2 linked regions of the Bombyx mori genome follow. The protein of the gene in region 1 binds, or shares a complex with, the protein of each later gene. Links are inferred from orthologs where the notes say so. Each region holds a gene or a part of one and is shown on either strand. Other genes may lie near its edges. The genes, in order: serine/threonine-protein kinase fused and suppressor of fused homolog.

Region 1 (4,481 bases):
TATTACCTTGCATTCCCAATGCATATTTTTTCCCGCTGCAATTGCTTGGCTTCTTGCTGACTGTGTGTTAAAGGCTTGGTAAATGGTGATTCACTCTGGACGTCTTCTGGTAGAATAAGAATGTGACCAGCTACAAATGGATGTTCCAATATTTCTGGCCAGCTCATTCTTTTCAAAGGATCTTTATGCAATAAGCCCTAAATAAATATTTTAATACTATTAAACTAATGGTACAAATAGTATAACTTAATTAAACGTAAAATGTTAAATTATTTGTGCAGTTTTAAAAGCTTGAAGTGAGAGCTCAAAAGCAAACAAACCTGTAGGAAGGTCCGAGCATTAGTGCTGATGAAACTAGGCCACTGTACAGGTTTGTGTCTAATCATGCGGACAAGTTGCCATATAGACATTGTACAGAAAGGTGGTTGCCCAGCAATTAGCTCATATACAATACAGCCAAGTGACCATAAGTCTGCCTGAAAAAAATACACAAAATAAAAATACAATTGAGATCTCAATATAATGTCTCAAAATAGGTGTGCTCAAACACATTGAGATATCTATGGGCTCAGGTAACCACATAGCACAAAGTGGCTTATTCACCCATATTATTATACTTAAAAAAAAACAATTTGGATAATTATTATATTGATATTTAGTCAGTATTGTGATAGCAAATTTTTTTAACTCCTGTTGTTATAGGTGCTGAAATTTTCCACAAGGAGCCCTGTAATGTACAAAAATGTTTGCAACTCTTTAGGATTAATAACAATATTCCATGAGGTTTTGATGCATATTTGTGCATAAAAAGTGACAGAAATATCTGTATAAAATGAAGTTTTAACGATATAATCACTTTTGTTTATAGCAAAGTGATTAATTAATATATAAACCCTACCATATATGCATACATAAAAATATTGTTGAATAAACTATCATTAGCATAAATTCATGTTTTTTTTTTTTTAATTACGTACAGGAAAATCTCTGAAATTATTGATTTATATTAATTAGGCTAAGGACAAATTAAAATAAAAGTACTCTAAAATATGTCAATTATTGTTATAAATAATGTTTTACTAAGAATAATTAATGTAATTTTGAAAATTGAAAGTATTACTATATAATATAATAGCATAGCTGCATTGATGGAACAGCATGCATACTAAGTATCCATACTTCCACACTATACAAATATTATAAATGTGAAAGTGTGTTTGTTATTAGATTGTGTATTTGTATGCCCTTTCACATCAAAACAAAGCAACAGATTGACCAGTTTTTTTTTTTTAATTATAGTTTTACTAAGAATAGTTAGGTCAGACGGAAGACATAGGTAAAAACATGTCATCTCCACAGAAAATTACAGTATAACTCTTTGTTTATATAATGCTATTTTAATATAATTACCTGATGATCATATGGCTTCTCATCAATTAACTCGGGGGCCATGTACAATGGTGTGCCTTTGATGGATGTTAAAATGTGTGTTGCATTTGTCATTATTCTTGCAAGACCAAAGTCACAGAGTTTGGCACGTCCTGTACTATCCAATAGCACATTTTGTGGCTTGAGGTCTCTAAAATTGTTATTTTGTATGATAAATGTTCAGGAATAATATAAAATCATAATAAATGAATCATAGATATTTCTATGATTATTTTCTTTCTCAATTTTATGCAATGAGAATTACTTCAATATCCAATTTCAACGTTAAAAGCTCAGATCAAATTAAATATTAACTATAAGAACAATAATAACTTTCTATCCTACTCTCAATTTTTTTACAAATTAATCTTTTTATTTAAATAAATCTTAATAGATTCAGTATCCAGAACCAATCAATATAACTGTCCACATTGAGATATAAGATGAATGTCTCTATTATAAGCCAGGCTATAGAGAAAAAATGAATAAATTATACTGATTTCACCTAGCTATGCCCCCTGCCAAGGTCCAAAAAATGTTTAGATATAATTATTATTTACATCAATAATGATATAATATTAATAATGTGTGTTTAGTATTATTATTTGATATAAAATATGAAACAAACAAGTTACCTATGTAAAACTCTATGAGAATGTAAGTAGTACAGTGCAGACACAAGGTCCCAAGTAATCTTCTTCACTTGTTCTTCATTAAGACAACCCTCCTTAGCCAATATTCCATGTAGTTCTTTCTCAGCATATTCTGTGACAACTACCAATTCTGTATCAGTGTCGAAACTGTCTATCATCCGAATTATGTTTGGATGATTCAATTGCCTCTGTATGTCGCATTCTTGCTTCAAACATTTTAAGTCTTTAGACGAGCGACCTTTCTGAAAATGTTGAATTATTGTGTAAGAATATTTGTTTATTAACTAATGTGGATGACGAGAGGTTTGACCGTGATATCTATGACAGCGAAGACATTGGGATCATGATAACTGAATAAGACCATTTAAAATTTTACTAGTAAGAAAACCTGGTTAATAACATTCTCTGTGTGTACAATTATTATTTTATCACACTTTATTAATGATCTTATTAAATATATTATTTTGGAAATAGTGGAAATGAAGATTTAATAAGCACTCGCAAGTTTTTTTTGTAATTTATTTGTATTGATGGTATACATTTATAGAAAAAAATTAGGAAATCATGAAGGCACCAAGTATTTAAAGTCATAAAAACTTAATAAATACCTTCCTTATCACTTTCAAGGCTACTACAGCATCGGTATCTTTGTGTTTTGCTTTAAAAACACGTCCAAATGAGCCTTCGCCGACGAATGAATTTATAACGTAGCTATTCATTTTAAAATGTAAAGTTGTATATCTATTATGGTGTATATATGGTGCTAATATAGATCCATTAATTTTGAAACTTCCTGTTTTTATTTATTGATTTGCATTTCTCTGCTCCAGTCGTCGTACATATGTATTGTAAATAAACATAAAATATTTTGTTCTCTTCGTAATGTAGTAATTTTATTTTTCCAAATAGAAAGGCAAAAGTATCATACCATACAGCCTAATCTTTTATAAATTTATTTTATTTTATGAAATATGACATTATGAAATAAAATGAAGTGAAACATGACATGAAATGAAATGAAGATGATTAATTTGAGACATTAATCAACTGGGATAAAATTAAATGAAATATGATGAGATTATATGCGATGAAATATAATCTCAGTAAAATGGTGGTCATTTACTGATTTTTTCAGTGGACTTTTTGAAGGATCCCGAGAAGTTACGTCCAGCGACTTTGTTTCATTTTCCCATATTTGTGCACTTTCACAGATAATAAACAGTTAATAAACCAACGTTATTACACATTTAAACCTGAAGAAACACTAAATAGACAATACATAATATCATGTACGTTAAAAGACTGGAGCAGAGAAATGCAAAACAATAAATAAAAACAGGAAGTTTCAAAATTAATGGATCTATATTAGCACCATATATACACCATAACAGATATACAATTTAGAATAAATGAATTTATTGTAAAAAGAAACCGTGGGGTGCATGGTTATAACAGTTATAAATATTTTGATAATACATATCCTGAAAACCACCCACACTTTTTTTACAATAAGATCATTTTTTTCTTACACTATTTTTAATTCAAATTTATTAAAATTTATTTTCTATTTTTAGTTTAATTTTTATAAAAGCTTATTTTTTTTAGTAATTTTAAACTATTATTTTCAATCTAAAACCAAAGAATCGATTCGAGCGTGGAAAATTGAAATTCCTTGTTTGTTGTTACAAAAAACGACCACAAAATAATTTACAATAGCCGGCTTAGGAAAGTGGCGAGGTCTCTAGACCAAAAGCGATCATAGACGCGGTTTCTTTGAAAAAGCAACCCGACCTATTAGGTAGCCTTCTTATCATATTTTTTTCTCCTACCTATTCGCCGGGAATTATTACAACTACGGTTAGATGAGCACACAGGCTCAACCTGAGAGAATTTGCTAAAATCAGCCCTAGCAAGGGCAGTGCTTCGCAGAATCTACCACTGAATCGGACCCACTAAGAATATCCAACAAGAAACTCAGTGGGCGGCGAAGTGTTCGACATGCAACTTAATCCACAGACATAATCGCCTGAGTTTTCCCCGGATATTCTCAGTGAGTGGCTCCATAGATAAGACCAAATGATTCATTGGTTACATTAGGTTAGCTACAAATTTATTTTCTTTACATTGTTTGAAGATATTTCATAAAACCTTATTCGAATATTTTTTTCAATAAATTCTTCATACTTCGATTCGGATTAATTCAAAGGTCAACCTTTTTTGAAAAGAATAGCTTCATAGCGAAGTGAAATTGTTATTGATTTATCTGAAATTGTTTTTTATTACATTAGATGGGTGGAGAAGCTCGTATACAGCCTGGATTTGGACGGTTACCACAGTTCACGGACATTTTGACCTGAATGCCCCCCGGCACCTTCATACACAAGTTGAATTCTCAATTTT
Region 2 (3,828 bases), on another chromosome or scaffold:
TACCCGCCACAAGAGCTTGCTTCCATTCCTCATCTGATTCTCTTTAATAAGCAGACAAGCTCACAAAGCACCAGGTGCTTACCCATCTGAAGCCCACACTGCAAAAGTGCCAGTTGTTGCTCACCTTGAGGTTTGAGGTGTTGTATTATTGTTGACTACAACTCATGGGACTTGAATGTTATAACATTAGTTCAATTTCAGTTTCGGTCTGTCAGACCTTCACGGGGATGGGAGGGTCCACCCTCCGCCGGATCGCGCGGCGCTGTCCGCGGGCGCGCCCCTGCCGTCTGGCTGCGGCATCGAGCTGACGTTCCGGCTCGCGGCTGACGGGGCAGAGCACCCCCCGCTGTGGCCGGCGGCTCTCTTGCAGGCCTTGGCCAGATACGTGTTCACTACAGGTCTGAATGTGACGTTTGTTCATAGACGTTTCTTGAGGTCAGTTTTTTTTATTTATTGCTTAGATGGTTGGACGAGCTCACAGCCCACCTGGTGTTAAGTGGTTACTGGAGCCCATGGACATCTACAACGTACATGCGCCACCCACCTTGAGATATCAGTTCTAAGGTCTCAGTATAGTTACAACGGCTGCCCCGTCCTTCAAACAGAAACGCATTACTGCTTCACGGCAGAAATAGGCAGGGAGGTGATGGTATCTACCACCAATAATTACTACGGTTCTTCTGGTTTAGGTAACAAGCTGTGCGCCGGGGACCACATATCGTGGCATCGTCCGCTGGACGGCGAGAGGTCCGGGGGCCGCATGCGACACCTGCTGGTCGCGACAGAGCCGCAGCTGCGACACGCTCGCACGCCGCACGGCATCGTCACCTTCCTACAGGTATCCTGTGTGCTCCTTGGGCCCATGGTCTGCTCCCAACATCTGCAGATCATCAAGTCTTACCTACCCCGCGCGCCCCCTAACCGTGGGGTCCTCGTAGGAAGTTCGTCCCCCTGTGCGTGTCTTGTTGCAGACAACGGGGACTTTTTGGCGGGAACGCGAGGAGGGAAGTTGTGTGATTTGTTTTATTTTGTCTATTTAGTGTTTCTTCAGGTTTAAATGTGGAATAACGGTGGTTTATTAACTGTTTAGTATCAGCTGTGAAAGTGCACAAATGTGGGAAAATGAAAGAAAGCCGCGAAAAATAAGAATATGAATTAAAATAAGACATGACCTAAAAGTCTTTGTTGCCAGGTCATAAACTCCAAAAAAAAAAGAACTGTCAAATTTTAAAATGGATTTGTCAAATAGAACAATACTAGTGGTCTCCTATAGTAGAATTATTTTGTCCGTGCAGTTTGGGTCATAAATAATCGGAGCGGTGAAGCGAATATTTCGCTCTCTCTTCAACTCACGAGCAACACACGAGCATGTGGGAAAATGAATCAAAGCCGCTGGACGTAACTTCTCGGGATCCTCCAAAAAGTCCACTGAAAAAATCTTAGTAAATGCCCACCATTTTACTGCGGTTATATTTCATCCCGTATCATCTCATCTCATTTCGTTTGATTTCATCCCAGTTGATTAATGTCTCAAATTAATCATCTTCATTTCATTACATTTTTCATAAAAATATGAATATAAATTAAAATAAAACATGACTTAAAGGTCTCAGTTACCAGGTCATAAAATCTATTAAAAAAAAAAAGGGATTCGATAATTATATTGTGGATGCATTATTGTTACGCGCTGGGGTTCGGGATAAATAAAATTATACCGAAGTACAAATTAAGACTTGGAACACTCAACAAACACTTTAAAATTCTCAATTCACTTCTTCCGCTTCGCTTTAGGTCAGCGGTTGGGGAACCGGGGTAAAATGAAATTTTGGGGTGTAAAAATGAAACTTTTATAGTAAAAAGTATATATTGAAGTGAAACTTCTTTAGAGTCGTGATTTCAAATTATCATGGAGGTTATAATATGAAAGATGCTAAGAAGAAGCGATTTCGTTTTTTTTTAGTTCTTCACCATGGGGTAATATCAACTTACACAAAAATATTTTAGGGTAATAATTAAAAAAGTTCCCCGACCGCTGCTTCAGGTGATCCGCTCGCTATTTCGCTTCGAGTAGATCCGATTACTAACTGGCTGCGTGCCATCCCTACAACGCTTTTATAGTCGGTACGACATCCCTAGAACTATCGAGAACATTCCACACAAGTCGAGTATTTTCGATAATCGTTTCTGCTATTATCCGACTATAGATGGCGTTGCTCTTGCCGGCGTAACATTATCCTTGTTTGTGTTAAAATTTCCAAACATTTTTTTCATCTTCGTAGACAGACTAGCAAACGTCCCATCTGATAGTGAGCCGATACCGTCGCTCATGGACGTCAGCAGTGCCAGGAACAGAACCAAGCTGCTACCGTTGGTACAGTTAACACGTGGAGCTCGCGTCTCTCTGGCTGTTGTTGATCATTTCCTATGACGTGAACCCGTAATGTAGAGTGACGGTCATGACAGTTCGTTGACCCGTTGAGCTCTGATTGTTTCATTGCGTGCACCGAGCGGCCTTAGAGTTGACCTCCCGCGTGTTGCAGATGGTGGGCTGCACCAGCAGAGAACTGAGGGCGGCCCAGAGGAGCTCCGTCTGCGAGGTACTGAAACTCATAGCGCAGGACCCGAGGTGAGTGGTGGTAGGACCTCTTGTGAGTCCGCGCGGGTAGGTACCACCACCCCGCCTATTTCTGCCGTGAAGCAGTAATACGTTTCGGTTTGAAGGGTGGGGCAGCCGTTGTAACTATACTTGAGACTCTAGAATTTATATCTCAAGATGTATGGCTCATTTACATTGTAGATGTCTATGGGCTCCAGTAACCACTTTATACAAAGTGGGCTGTGAGATCGTCCACCCATCTAGGCAATAAATAAATAAATAAAATGCGCCATAGACCAGCTGTTTTTTTTCTGTCTTTTCTTCCTATGCTGATAGCCTTGAGAGGCTATTTCAGCTTCACCTTAACGCGTAGGCGAGCTGTCGGGGCTCAAACCGGATGTGTTGCTAACACTGGCACAGAATCTACCGCCGGATCGGAAACGCGACCCACTGAGAAGATCCGACGAGAAACTCAGTGGGCTGTGTCTGTGGGTTAGCTTATTCGCCGAGTCCTACGTCGCAAGCGACGGGTTTGGCTATCTATGGCCTGGTCTATAGGCTCTAGTAACCACTTAAGACTAGGTGGGCTGTGAGCTCGTCCACCCATCTAAACAATAAAAAAAAGGGTAGTCGTCTGTTGGCGGGGTCGTGCGGGGGGTTGGGGGGGCGCGACCCGGCTACAGTGTCGCGCTGTGTTCAGGTGCGGCGGGTGCTGGCTGGTGACGCGCATGGAGCGGCGGGTGTCGGTGCGGGCGGGGGGCGGCGCGGGGGGCGCGCTGGCGCAGCTGGCCGGCGTCTCCTGCGACGTGCGCTGGGCCGCGTGGGAGGTACGTCTGTGTATTGTACTGTAGCGGACGCACGAGCTCATAGACCGCAGGGTCGGGCGGATGACACGTTAATATATATTTTGAAGTGAAAACTTCTTTAGAATCGTTGTGATTTCAAACCGGATGCAACGGAAAAAACGACAGGTAAGAGACACATATATAAAAATGTGTAGGATGAAGCCAGCAAAGAATGAGACAGAAATATACATACTATTTAATACAGCGCTATCTGTGAGATTTTTTAATACTAACGTGTGTATGAAAGCTCTTGTAGTGAATTTTAATTTAGGATTATACGTGAAATTAAAATATCAATTCACAGAGGGCGCCACCTTACAATTATTTACTAATGACAAAATTTTACATATACTTAAGACGTTTAGGATAATTGTATTTTAATTTTGG

The links.
Region 2: the proteins of serine/threonine-protein kinase fused (region 1) and suppressor of fused homolog are in contact, whole or in part, in a crystal structure (PDB 6LPH), measured with the Drosophila melanogaster proteins. The link is inferred for Bombyx mori from reciprocal best matches to the Drosophila melanogaster genes fu and Su(fu). Residues at the interface, in NP_477499.1 of Drosophila melanogaster: Phe371, Val372, Ser373, Asn375, Ser376, Asn377, Met378, Ile379, Leu380, Asn381, His382, Met383, Asn384, Asn386, Phe387; in NP_536750.2 of Drosophila melanogaster: Leu18, Ile22, Pro33, Asn34, Pro35, Leu36, Gln37, Val38, Thr39, Thr40, Leu41, Leu42, Asp50, Tyr54, Met57, Arg127, Thr130, Trp131, Ala133, Asn134, Gln137.

What each region holds. Positions count from the first base shown.
Region 1 is NC_085116.1:10,508,056-10,512,536, forward strand, and holds the start of serine/threonine-protein kinase fused, read right to left. Parts: upstream 2,988-4,481; 5' UTR 2,801-2,987; coding exon 2,690-2,800; intron 2,324-2,689; coding exon 2,064-2,323; intron 1,580-2,063; coding exon 1,411-1,579; intron 477-1,410; coding exon 321-476; intron 198-320; coding exon 7-197; intron 1-6. UniProt on the Drosophila melanogaster protein: Probable serine/threonine-protein kinase; maternally required for correct patterning in the posterior part of each embryonic metamere. May be involved in control of cell division during metamorphosis and ovarian development. May interact with costal-2.
Region 2 is NC_085130.1:19,120,644-19,124,471, reverse strand, and holds part of suppressor of fused homolog, read left to right. Parts: intron 1-201; coding exon 202-398; intron 399-689; coding exon 690-838; intron 839-2,540; coding exon 2,541-2,626; intron 2,627-3,296; coding exon 3,297-3,423; intron 3,424-3,828.